Diceros bicornis minor: one gene and its partners. The protein of the gene in region 1 interacts with the protein of each later gene in a pairwise test. Links are inferred from orthologs where the notes say so. Each region holds a gene or a part of one and is shown on either strand. Other genes may lie near its edges.

Region 1 (3,748 bases):
TGCAGCATGAACACCGTCCCTTCCTGAATTTAGCCGTTACTGACCTACACACTGTGGATGAAAAACCAGGGAACAGCAGCTCTGGGGGATGGGAGGACTTAGGGTCCAGCCCTGCCCAGGCCACCCCGTGTCCAATTTCTCTGTGTCAGCTGTGTCACTCAGCTGTCCACTTTGCTCCAGCCCTGTCATTTCAGCTCTGACACCAAGGCGAGAGGCTAAGAGGTCTACAAATACCGTCTGGGTAGCTGGTGTGAGTACACAGGGTAGTGGGGGGGCTTAGCCCCCAAGGAAGAAGACCAGTCCTCCCCCAGCACCACCATCAAGACCCCAGGTGCTCCCTCCTCCCTCCACAGACTCTGGACTGACTAGGGAATCCCAAACGTAAGTTGCCTTGTCATCCTCTTCCCATTTCCAGGACTGCTTACCCCAGCTTCCCCAATCCGTAGTCTGTTCAGCTTATTTCTCTCCTCCTCTGTGAGTAGTTTGGGTTTTAGGAGTGAAATTTATTATTCTACTCCAGAACAAGAGTTAGGATTGGAAGGTGGGGTGGGGGTGGGGTCAAGGTAATGGAGTAGTAAGGGAAGGAAAGGCTCATATTACTCTGAAAACTTAAAATAGCTGAGGGCTGAGGCAGGCTGGGAACTAAGCACTGGGCCCCTGGGGCTCAAGAAAGAGGGGAGAACAAATGTCCCCAGCCCATCCCATCATGCATGCTATGGACACACACATTAAACTTGCTGAAGAAAGGGGATCTGGGAAGGTGTATGTCATGTCTCTACTGCACACAAAGTACCTGTAGGAAATGCCCTAAACCGTACAGACTTGAGCACTGTGTTGGGGCTGTAAACTCGGGTTGTCCCTCAGGGTGGAAGGATGGGTATCAGTTTGAGGAACTGGTTGGGAAGTTCTTGAGTCTGTTGGGCTTTTCTCTGGACTTCCGTGGAAACTTTCTGTTCATAAGCCTGTGAAAGGATCCCTGTTTAACCAAATTTCCCCTGAAGCCTCCTCTTCAAGGACCACCCTACTGTGAGGGACAGGAATAGGGAGGGAAGAATGGCAGGCAGAGGTGACATTTCATAGTGGGGTCTGACCTCTTGCAGGATGACAGAGAAGGAGGTGCTGGAGTCCCCTAAGCCCCCCTTCCCAGCAGAGACTCGGCAAAGTGGGGTGAGTCTGGGCCTCTGACCACCAGCTGTGGGGAGCTGGGAAGCCATGGCAACCCTTGATGAAAAGCGCTTGAGTTGATCTCACTAGTATGTGACTCATTTATTGTTAGAATGCTAGCCAGCACCTGCAGCCCCCAATACCCCCCAATGCTGGGCTGTGCCCCTTGCCCGAGGCTAGAAAAATGTCTAGTCAGCTTCCACCTTACCTCCTCTAGAAAGCATGACAGTTCTTTTAACATTGGGTTTCCTTCCCTCCTTCCCTGCCTCCCTCAGCTACAGCGGCTGAAGCAGTTATTCAGGAAGGAGTCCACAGTGACAAAGGAGATGGAGCTGCCCCCAGAGCCCCAGGCTAATGGGGAGGCAGTGGGAGCTGGGGCTGGGCCCATCTACTACATCTATGAGGAAGAGGAGGAGGAAGAGGAGGAGGAGGAGCCACCCCCAGAACCTCCTAAGCTTGTCAATGATAAGCCCCACAAATTCAAAGATCATTTCTTCAAGAAGCCCAAGTTCTGTGATGTCTGTGCCCGGATGATTGTGCGTGAGTCTTGAAGGGAAGTGGAGAGAGTGTGATGTCGAAGGCAGGGGGCGGGGACAGAGTTTAGGAGAGGGGTATTTGTATCACAGACAGGCTTTGGCATGATTTTGGCTTTAAGAAAATACTATTAGAGACTGAGAATGTTGGCTCCCAGACAGAAAAGGGACTAAGAGCTCGAGGAGCAGCTGTGGCATGAGGGAAGGGAGCTCAGGGACCTCACCCAAACATTCTCCCCTCTCCCAAGTCAACAACAAATTTGGGCTTCGCTGCAAGAACTGCAAAACTAACATCCACGAACACTGTCAGTCCTACGTGGAAATGCAGAGGTGCTTCGGGAAGATCGTGAGTAGACCTTGGGAGCAAGAAAGTAGAAGGGAGGGGCGTGTTGCCAGCTACCCTCTTGCCAGTCCCTCCTCAAGTCATCCCGTCCATTTCCCTGCTGCTTCTTTCTCAGCCCATCTCTTACTCTAAGAAGAGGTGAGCACTCATGGGAGAGATGGGTTCTGGGCCCTTCCTTGCTATCTCTAATGTTTTCTCCCATCCCCTCCTACAGCCCCCTGGTTTCCATCGGGCCTATAGCTCCCCACTCTACAGCAACCAGCAGTACGCTTGTGTCAAAGATCTCTGTAAGTGCCCCCTATGGGACCTGAGGGAACGGGCAAGCCTAGAGACCGTGTCAGCACCACCTTTAGATTTGGAAGCAAATTCTGAAACAGAAAGATCCTATTTCACAAGATTGTCTCTCAAGCTAAACTTTTAGCCATCTTGGATGCAGTCAATATTCCCATTTTATAGCTGAGGGAGATAAGATTTAGCTAGGGCTTCACACAGATAACAAGAGACAGAGCCAAGACTGAAACCTTCATCTGCCTAACTTCAAAATCTGTGCTCTTCATATATGAAACCATTTCTAAGCAAGAACAAGGATTTTAGACTCTCTACATCCTGGTTACAGAATAATGCCAAACTCAAAGCCAGACCAAGAGCTGTGAGCATCCTGGGCAGATTCATAATTTGGCAACCCTTCAAAAAGTATTCATTGACAATTTCTCAAGATTTATTTGGAGGAGAGGCTGAACTCTGTGAGGAGCATGGGTGGAAAAAGAAGAACCCACCGGTGTTAGCATCCCCGCTTACACATGCCACTCAGCAGAACAAAAGCCAGCAGTTAAAAGACCACTCTCCTTAGAAGGAGAATAGTGATTCTGAGGATTCCCCAACTCCCAAGCAGCATGTTAGCAAAGCTGTCTTTCCAACATCATATAATGCTCTGCCTAGAAGGAGTGCTGGTAAACATTTTTCTCTATCACATTACATTTCCAGGGATATTTTTAGAGCTCTTTATAGATTGATGACCTAGGTAGCCCAGCTGACCCTTCCCTAATCCTACACAAACATGCGCACATGCATGCATGTCTATCTGCTCAGTCCCACCTCTCCCTTACTTAGGAGGTCTCTCTTTCCTTCAAGCCTTTCTCTGCCTCCGCAGTAATGTCTTCTTTCTTTTCCCATTCCCGCTAGCTGCTGCCAATCGCAATGACCCTGTGTTTGAAACCCTGCGCACTGGGGTGATCATGGCAAACAAGGAACGGAAGAAGGGACAGGCAGATAAGAAGAATGTGAGCACCATACCTTCCTACTGAGGTCCCTTCCAGAGACCCTGTGGAGCAGGTCCTCCCTCCTCTCTGGAAAGCTGACAGAAGCTAGGGATCCTCTCCCTCTAAAATTGCACATAACCCAACAGATACATTTTTGTGTGCAATTTTAGAGGGCCTCAGGTTAACAACTCCTGCCATAGTGTGTTTTCTCCAGGAACTCCCTTCTGAAATTGTCAGATTAACCACCAACAAACTGAAGCCTAGGCCCCAGGCCCCTGGCATTGCTGGGCACCAGAGACAAGAGCAATGCTTTTGGATTTGGGAAAGAGAACTTGCCATGCCACGTAATCAGAGAATTTTAGAGCCATGCAAGGGTCCATGAAGATCATCTGGTCTGACCCATTTCCTATAGATAAGGAAACTGAGGCACAAAGCTAGTGGCCAAGAGC
Region 2 (3,748 bases), on another chromosome or scaffold:
TTTAAAACAGTCAGCCAGTAGTCAGGAATGCCTTTAGGATCTTCTTTTTTAGGCTTTCCCTTACGAGCTCTTTTAAGATTCACTCTTTCTTTAGGCCTGACCTCAGGAACTCTTTTAGAAGCCTCTTTTACTCCAGCCCTTGCCTTAGCCTCTACTGCCTTAGGCTGTCCTTTATCTTCTGCCTTTGCCTGGGGGACTTCTTTAGCATCTTCTTTTACTTCAGGCTTTGCCTCCAGCAAATCTTTAGACTCTGCTTTTTCTTCAGCCTTTGCCTCAGGAATTTCGTTAGGTACCTCATTTTCTTCAGCCTTTACCTCAAGTTTTTCTTTAGGGTCGTCTTCTTCCTCACCTTCTAAGGCAGGCATTTCACTAGGGCTGTCTTCCTGCACCTCCTCATCACTGCTGAACACCTCATCCTCTGAATTCCATTCACATTCTTCTTCTGTAGGTTCATATTCTGCATTGATGATTTGAAATCGCCGATCATATAGAGGCTTATTGAGTTCAGCATATTTTCGTTCGAGATCGTGAATTGCCTTTAAGAACAGAGCGTCTACCTTGTCACATTCATCTTGAATATTTCTGAGCGCCTGCACACGATTTCTAACTGACTGAGGCAGCCGGTCCACGAAATTTTTACCCGACGGAGCCCGCCGCGCCCTTCTGGAAGGCCCAGGTACCCTCTTCTTTCTATATAAGCGGCTGCGGCTACTGCTGCTGCCACTGCTGCTGTAACTAGTGCTTCTGCTCGAGCTACTGCTGTCAGATTCTTCCCCAGAATCGCTAGACGAGCTAGCCAGCATCTCTTCAGCAACCCCCTGGGCGGCAGGTCCCGAGACCATGTTAAGATCCGCTTCTGCCATTTTGCAAGCCAGTAAACCTCTAAAGGTGGTGACTACTGCTGAGACCGCGCGCCCAGAGATGGGCAGAAAATGACTCACGGATGCTTGGGTGGCGGCAGCGGCCCGGGCTGAGAAGGTGGCAGCGGCGAAGGCAGCAGCAGCGTGGGGCGGGACTGGGCTGCGGCGATCGCGCGGAGGTGACAGCGGCAGTGGAAGCCTGCGCGAGAGCGGCGGTGGCAAGGCCTCTCCCGGCTGCCGCCGCGGTGGACAGAGGCGTGCCGCAGCCGAATAGCGCTGTGTGAGACCCCAAGTTCTCTTCACGGTTTAGATCGGCAGCCCCCTCCCCTTGCAGTCAGACCTCCTGTTAGTTTAGTTCCCAGGGTGCCTTTAGCTCGCGCCTCATTTGCTGGGCAAGTTTGATTGACAGTCCCTAAGCCCAATGAATGACCAAACGCACCGCCCGCCTTCCAGGCTCCGCCCATCTTCCCAGACGCTCCTTGGTAGCTGAGGCACACACCCCTGGAAGACGATTTTTCCCCTTTAAATTCTACCTTTATAGTTTTATAATTCAAAAAAAAAAAGCTTAGATATGAGGTAAAAATACTAGCCATAGTTCCTAACAAGGGAAGAGGAGTATCTTTCTCCCATCCGCTCATCCTAAATTCCCGTTTGGTTTATCAGGGGCCTCTTGACAAAAATCTGTTTTTAAAAAATTGGATGAAAGTACTCCAAGTGGCATCATTGGGTAGTGTGATTATGGATGATTTTTTTTAATCTATTTTATCTAAATATTCTATGAGCATGTATTTTTACACTGGAAAAAAGGAGAGTCGTTTATTGGCAAAGGAGGGAGGGGCTAGAAAGCAGGCATGTTGCATTCCACGTAGCAGTTTTAATAAGTGCTGTCTGTGATGTTTGGCAAGCCTGCTTTATATCCATCTACAAGGTTTTCGAGCCCATGTTGCCGTGAGTCAGTTGCACCATTTTTACTATATTTCTCTCTTTAAGCTGGCGTATAATGTACCTCAACCTTGCTGCTGACTTGCCAGTTAGCCCTTCAAACCTTGTAGATAAAATAAAAGGGTATTCAAATGTTAGGTAGTATTGTTTAAAAGCAGAAGGTTTGCTCTATACTTTTGTGCAGCAGTTTTCAATTCCACAAACAGCAGAATGGGAGGGGAATTTGTGCTGATAAACGTGCATCCTCTGTCAATATATACTTCACAATGTCATCTACCACCAATTTCCTTCTAACATTGTAAAATTCTAGCCATATTAAAAGTATGATTTACAAGTCCAGAAATATGTGAATAAACTTTTGCAAAATGAAATTTAAAAACAGGTATCTGTTATTTTTATTTACAGGATTCTTTTCTGCTACAGAACAACTCCCTTGGTACATCCAAAAAGACCAGTGTTTACCTTTCATTAAAAGGTAAGGAACATATTTAGCCCATTTTTATGAATGACAAGAATTACCTACCTGTATTTGAATAAAAATTCACAGAATATAGTCTTTTAAAGACTTAATTGGAAGATATCTTGATATTTCTATGGAAGCAGAAAAATCCACGGAGGTGATTTGACATACTAATGTAGAAAATAGCCTAATTAATCACATTCACTATCTAAACCTGCTCATAGAATACAAGCAGTAAATTAAAATATGAATTATTTTATTTTAAATGAGGAAAATGTTAGATTAACTTTTATGTTACTTTTTTATTGTAGGATTTGTGCTTTGTCGTTTCATCATATATTTTATAAAAAATTAGGAAGCACTAGTCTTCTATTTTGTAAATGGATCTACTTTTATTGTTTATTTCTGATTGTCAAAGTATATAAGCATTTTAAAGAAAAAATACAATATAGAAAATTCCAATGATAGTAAAAATACACAATCTTAACAACCAAACTATAGCCATTGTTAGCATTTTGATGCATTTCCTTCCAGAAATTTCTTTGTACATATACACACCTGCCTATTTATATACACTGTTTTATCTATGTGACATCATATTATGTTTTGTAATCTGCTCATTTAATTTATCAATTAATTGTGGCTATATTTTCATGGTAAATAATCAACATCTTATTTTAAAATAGATACATATTCCATGGAAATATTTGCCTTAATTTATTTAACCAGATTCCTGTTATAGGGCACCTATTTCCCACACTCTCTCTCCACTAACATACATATATTTTCCTGTTATAAGAAAATTAGCCCTGGATATGTACTGTATGCACTTGTGAAAATTACTCACAGGATGAATTCCTAGAAAGGAGAGGGCTGGAATAAATTGTGTGCTCATTTTACTCTTTGATACATATTGCCAAACTTCTCTCCAGAAAAGTTATCACAATTTACAGTCCCATCAACAATGAATGAGTTCATTTATTTAGTCATTCAGCTAATATATTCCTGTGCTTGCCATGTGCCAAGCATATGTGGTAGAGGATAGCAATAGAATGGTGAATAAAACTTACTAGGTGCATATCTTTTCATTTCATAATTTAAATCAAAACATATACTGTGAAAATGATTTAAATCAATAGAGTTATGACATAAATATTGTTCTACAACTTATTTTCATTTAAAATGATGGACATTTTTTTTAATGAATGATCTTACATTTTTATAGCACTTTAATGGTTTCATATACATGTTAAATTTTGTACCATCAGGAATTAGTATTTTGGAGTAAGAAATGAATTAGGGATCCGTATTTTTAAAAAATATATGTTTTTATTAGCAAATAAAATCTAATAAGTAAAAATTATAAAAAATAAAGGTCTGCTCTCTGTTTCTATAGATTAGTTTGTATTTTCTAGGATGTTATATAAATGGAATCATGTAATATACCCCTCTTTTTACTTGTCTTCTTTCACTTAGCATAATTATT
Region 3 (3,748 bases), on another chromosome or scaffold:
AATATGAGCTGGTTTATGATTTTAAAAGATCACCTGTGTGGATTAAAGAAGGGGGTGATTCAAACAGGGAGACCAGATGGAGGGCTGTTGCAGTGGACCAGTGGCTTGTATTAGGGTGGTAGTGGTGGAGGCATACAGGATATATTTTGTCGCCTCCCCCCCAAAGCCCCAGTAGATAGTTGTATGTCATAGCTGCACATCCTTCTAGTTGCTGTATGTGGGATGCGGCCTCACATGGCTGGAGAAGCGGTGCGTCGGTGCGCGCTGGGGATCCGAACCGGGCCGCCAGCATCGGAGTGTGAGCACTTAACCACTAAGCCACGGGCCGGCCTGTACAGGATATATTTTGGAGGTAGAAGAACCAACAGTACTTGTCCATAATGTGGATATTGGGGTTGGGGATAGAAGGGATTGAAGGAAAGAAAAAAATTAAGGAAGATTTTCACATCTATGTGGTGAACCTCAAATTTAGAAATATATTTAACATATATTCAGCCTCCACTTATTACATTTAATTTCTTAATTAATTGGAGCACAGCATAGCATAGGCAAAGAACTTGGACTAAATCTTAAATTCCAGTCCTATGTGATCTTGGAAAGTGTCTAAACCCTAACAGCCACTGTTGCCTCATCTTTAAAACGATGATTGGATGTCTGCGGATTTGAGATGTTTGTAAAGCTCCACAAGAATGCCTAGAGCTCCCAGCGTGTAAGAAGGTTGTGGGAAATCCAAACGCGACGAGGTGGCGAGCCTCATAGTCCAGGTTTTATTTAGAAGATGGTGACGGAGGGCGAGTGTTGCAGGATTTTGAGCATGCAGGACATCTACAGCATTGGGCATAAGAGTATTCCAGTCGGCCTGAATTGGAAATGAGTCTCTCTGCTAGGCATTCCGGCCCAACGGCACCTGAAATTTCTAATCAGGGAGAATGCGAGGTTATCCCTGCAGCCTGGAACAGTACCTGACTACCGTAGGTGCTCAATAATTGTTTAATGAAGGATGGGGTAGGGGTGAAGGGAAGACGCTGACGTAGAGGTAGGAAAACTGTCCGCAACAGCCGCTGGAAGGCCCGAGCTCGGGATTTTCACGTCGCTGTAGCAACGCCCCGCTCCACGCGCACGCACCCGGGAACTACAAGTCCCACAAGCGTCCGCGGCTTTCCCGCCCCCGGGGAGGAGGGGCGCGAGCGAGCGCGGAACCAGCTTTCCCTCTTTCCTGAAGCGTGATTGGTCCGCGGCTCTGGGAGACGGCCAATGAGTGCGCTCGCGAGAGCGGCGAGGCCAATATGGCTTCCTGCGCCTGGTGACGGTTAAAGACCCTGTCTTGGGTCTCATGGAGAAGCCCCGGGGAGTCGAGGTGAGGGGGGAAGGACTTATCGTGACTGAGAAGGGGAACCCCGAGAGCCTCACTCGTGGACCCTTTAGGCCTTTTAGTGAAGGCTGGAGGGCGGAGTGTGGAAAGATGGATAGACGGAGGTAGTTAGGCTTGACCCGGGCCAGAGGCGGTCGCTGTTGCCTGTTGAGAAATGTATAAACAAGAGTAATGATCCTGGTGTTTGCAAAAGGGGTATTTGATTCTGCCTGCCACTTTGCCCAAGAGTGTTGACTTCACCAAGAACTGGAACGGGAGCTGGTAGATCTGCCACCTCCCTCCCCATACACTAAACCAACCATGATTCCTTCTGCCTGTTTCCTTCCACCAGGAGACTCCGTCTTCAGAACCAATGGAGGAAGAAGAGGAAGATGACGACTTGGAGCTCTTTGGTGGCTATGACAGTTTCCGGAGTTATAACAGCAGTGCGGGCAGTGAGAGCAGCTCCTACCTAGAGGAGTCAAGTGAAGCAGAAAATGAGGATCGGGAAGCAGGGGAGCTGCCCACTTCCCCGCTGCATTTGCTCAGCCCTGGGACTCCCCGCTCCTTGGATGGCAGTGGTTCTGAGCCAGGTGCCTTCAGAGTGCCCCCTGAAGATGGGGAGGTTTCAGGAGGCTATGGAGGAAGAGGGGGATAGAGCCATGTGGGCAGAGCCCTCCAGGTGTAAAGGGCTGTTTGATCTGATGTCTAAGGGCCTGTGAGAGAGACAGAGCATCCCAAGTAGCCCCAAGGGTCATTTCTTCTGCAGTAGTCTGATTTCGTTCATACAACTAGTATTTATTTAGCACACATTACATGCCAGTCATTAACATGGTGCTGCTTGTACATTTGTGTGAATAGCTAGTGGATTTCTAAGCCTGGAGGTTGAGAAGGTAGAACACTTGTTCTGGTTACTATCTGGGTAGGGACAAGAAATAGCTTGCGGGGTGGGAGTGAGGGGGAGGGAAATATAGAATAAAGTGACCTCCAAGTAAGAGGAGTAGGGTGGAGGTGAGCAGATAAGAATCCCCATGGATCATCTGGAAGCCACTTGGCTTCAGAGTTGTGATCTTGGACAGCTGCTGGACCCCACTGTCAGTGCCTCCAGCGTGTGGACTGCCTGTGAAAAGAGGCCGGCTAGACAATTTGTAATAACACTCCTGTTGCTTGGTACCTGAACTTTTCAGAAGAGAATACTCTTGCCAGTTGAATCTTATTTCCTTTCTATTTGTCATGTCTTCCCTTCCTCTCTCCTTTCTTTTATCTTTCTCCCCTCTATCTTCTTCAACCATTCTTTTAGAATCTTAGAACTTTAGAACTAGAAGGAACCATTAGAGACCATCTAGTGCAGGGGTTCTTTAGCCTGGCTGTGCATTAGAATCACCTGGGGGGAGGGGGCGGGCCCCGTGGCTTAGCCGTTAAGCGTGCGTGCTCTGCTACTGGCGGCCGGGGTTCGGATCCTGGCCGTGCACCGACGCACCGCTTGTTGGGCCATGCTGAGGCGGCGTCCCACATACAGCAACTAGAAGGATGTGCAACTATGACATACAACTATCTACTGGGGCTTTGGGGAGGAAAAAAAGCAAAAAAAAAAAGAGGAGGATTGGCAATAGATGTTAGCTCAGGGCCCGTCTTCCTCAGCAAAAAGAGGAGAATTGGCATGGATGTTAGCTCAGGGCTGATCTGCCTCACACACACACACACACAAAAAAGAATCGCTTGGGGAGCTTCTAACAAACTGGAAATGCCTGGGTCCCACCACAGACCAGCTAATTAGAATCTCAGGCTTGGGCAGTTTTAAAAGCTCCTCAAGTGATTCTAATACGATGTCAAGGTTGAAACATTGATTTAGTTCAGTCTCTTTATAGAAGAGAAGAAAATGGACCCACAGAAGTTAAGTGATGTGAGCACTTTTTTCCTTCTCAGTTTTCTCTTCGCAAACTTTCCTCACCTGTTTCCTCTGTCATCCTCATGGATTTTCCTTAGCGCCACTGTTGACACGTGTAGCCAAGGGATGCCAAGCAGCTTATCTTGGGTGAAATAGGTTCAGATGGACACCCCAGAACTTCCTTCTCTTCCAGTTCTGCCAGCCTTAGGGGGACTGAGACTTAACCCGGTAAATGCAGTGCCCCAGCTTTTGAAGGGCCCATCGTTTTGTTTGATTTGGGGTAACCGCATCAGGTGAGTCATGTGCTAAGTTCTCTTCCCAGCTGTCTGTGAGATGTGTGGTATCGTGGGTACAAGGGAAGCCTTCTTCTCCAAGACCAAGAGATTCTGCAGTGTCTCCTGTTCCAGGAGCTACTCCTCCAACTCCAAGAAAGCCAGTATCTTGGCTAGATTACAGGTGAGAGGCAGGTATTTGGAAGACCCTTCCCAGGGCCCTGGGTGCTGAGATAG

The links. The genes of interacting proteins can lie anywhere in the genome.
Region 2: the proteins of STAC3 (region 1) and FAM133A interact in binary tests that used the Homo sapiens proteins (3 or more experiments, as listed by UniProt). The two-hybrid records come from large-scale screens. The link is inferred for Diceros bicornis minor from reciprocal best matches to the Homo sapiens genes STAC3 and FAM133A.
Region 3: the proteins of STAC3 (region 1) and L3MBTL2 interact in binary tests that used the Homo sapiens proteins (3 or more experiments, as listed by UniProt). The two-hybrid records come from large-scale screens. The link is inferred for Diceros bicornis minor from reciprocal best matches to the Homo sapiens genes STAC3 and L3MBTL2.

What each region holds. Positions count from the first base shown.
Region 1 is NC_080756.1:11,655,933-11,659,680, forward strand, and holds the start of STAC3 (SH3 and cysteine-rich domain-containing protein 3), read left to right. Parts: upstream 1-1,181; 5' UTR 1,182-1,277; coding exon 1,278-1,704; intron 1,705-1,945; coding exon 1,946-2,043; exon of another isoform or gene 2,044-2,188; coding exon of another isoform or gene 2,189-2,254; coding exon 2,255-2,327; intron 2,328-3,222; coding exon 3,223-3,320; intron 3,321-3,748. UniProt on the Homo sapiens protein: Required for normal excitation-contraction coupling in skeletal muscle and for normal muscle contraction in response to membrane depolarization. Required for normal Ca(2+) release from the sarcplasmic reticulum, which ultimately leads to muscle contraction.
Region 2 is NC_080781.1:87,221,823-87,225,570, forward strand, and holds the start of FAM133A (protein FAM133A), read left to right. Parts: upstream 1-1,384; 5' UTR 1,385-1,436; intron 1,437-1,753; exon of another isoform or gene 1,754-1,808; intron 1,809-2,207; 5' UTR 2,208-2,277; intron 2,278-3,748. Other genes in the region: NAP1L3 (nucleosome assembly protein 1-like 3), read right to left, coding at 1-863.
Region 3 is NC_080764.1:9,162,938-9,166,685, reverse strand, and holds the start of L3MBTL2 (lethal(3)malignant brain tumor-like protein 2), read left to right. Parts: upstream 1-1,251; 5' UTR 1,252-1,333; coding exon 1,334-1,357; intron 1,358-1,703; coding exon 1,704-1,944; intron 1,945-3,561; coding exon 3,562-3,695; intron 3,696-3,748. UniProt on the Homo sapiens protein: Putative Polycomb group (PcG) protein. PcG proteins maintain the transcriptionally repressive state of genes, probably via a modification of chromatin, rendering it heritably changed in its expressibility.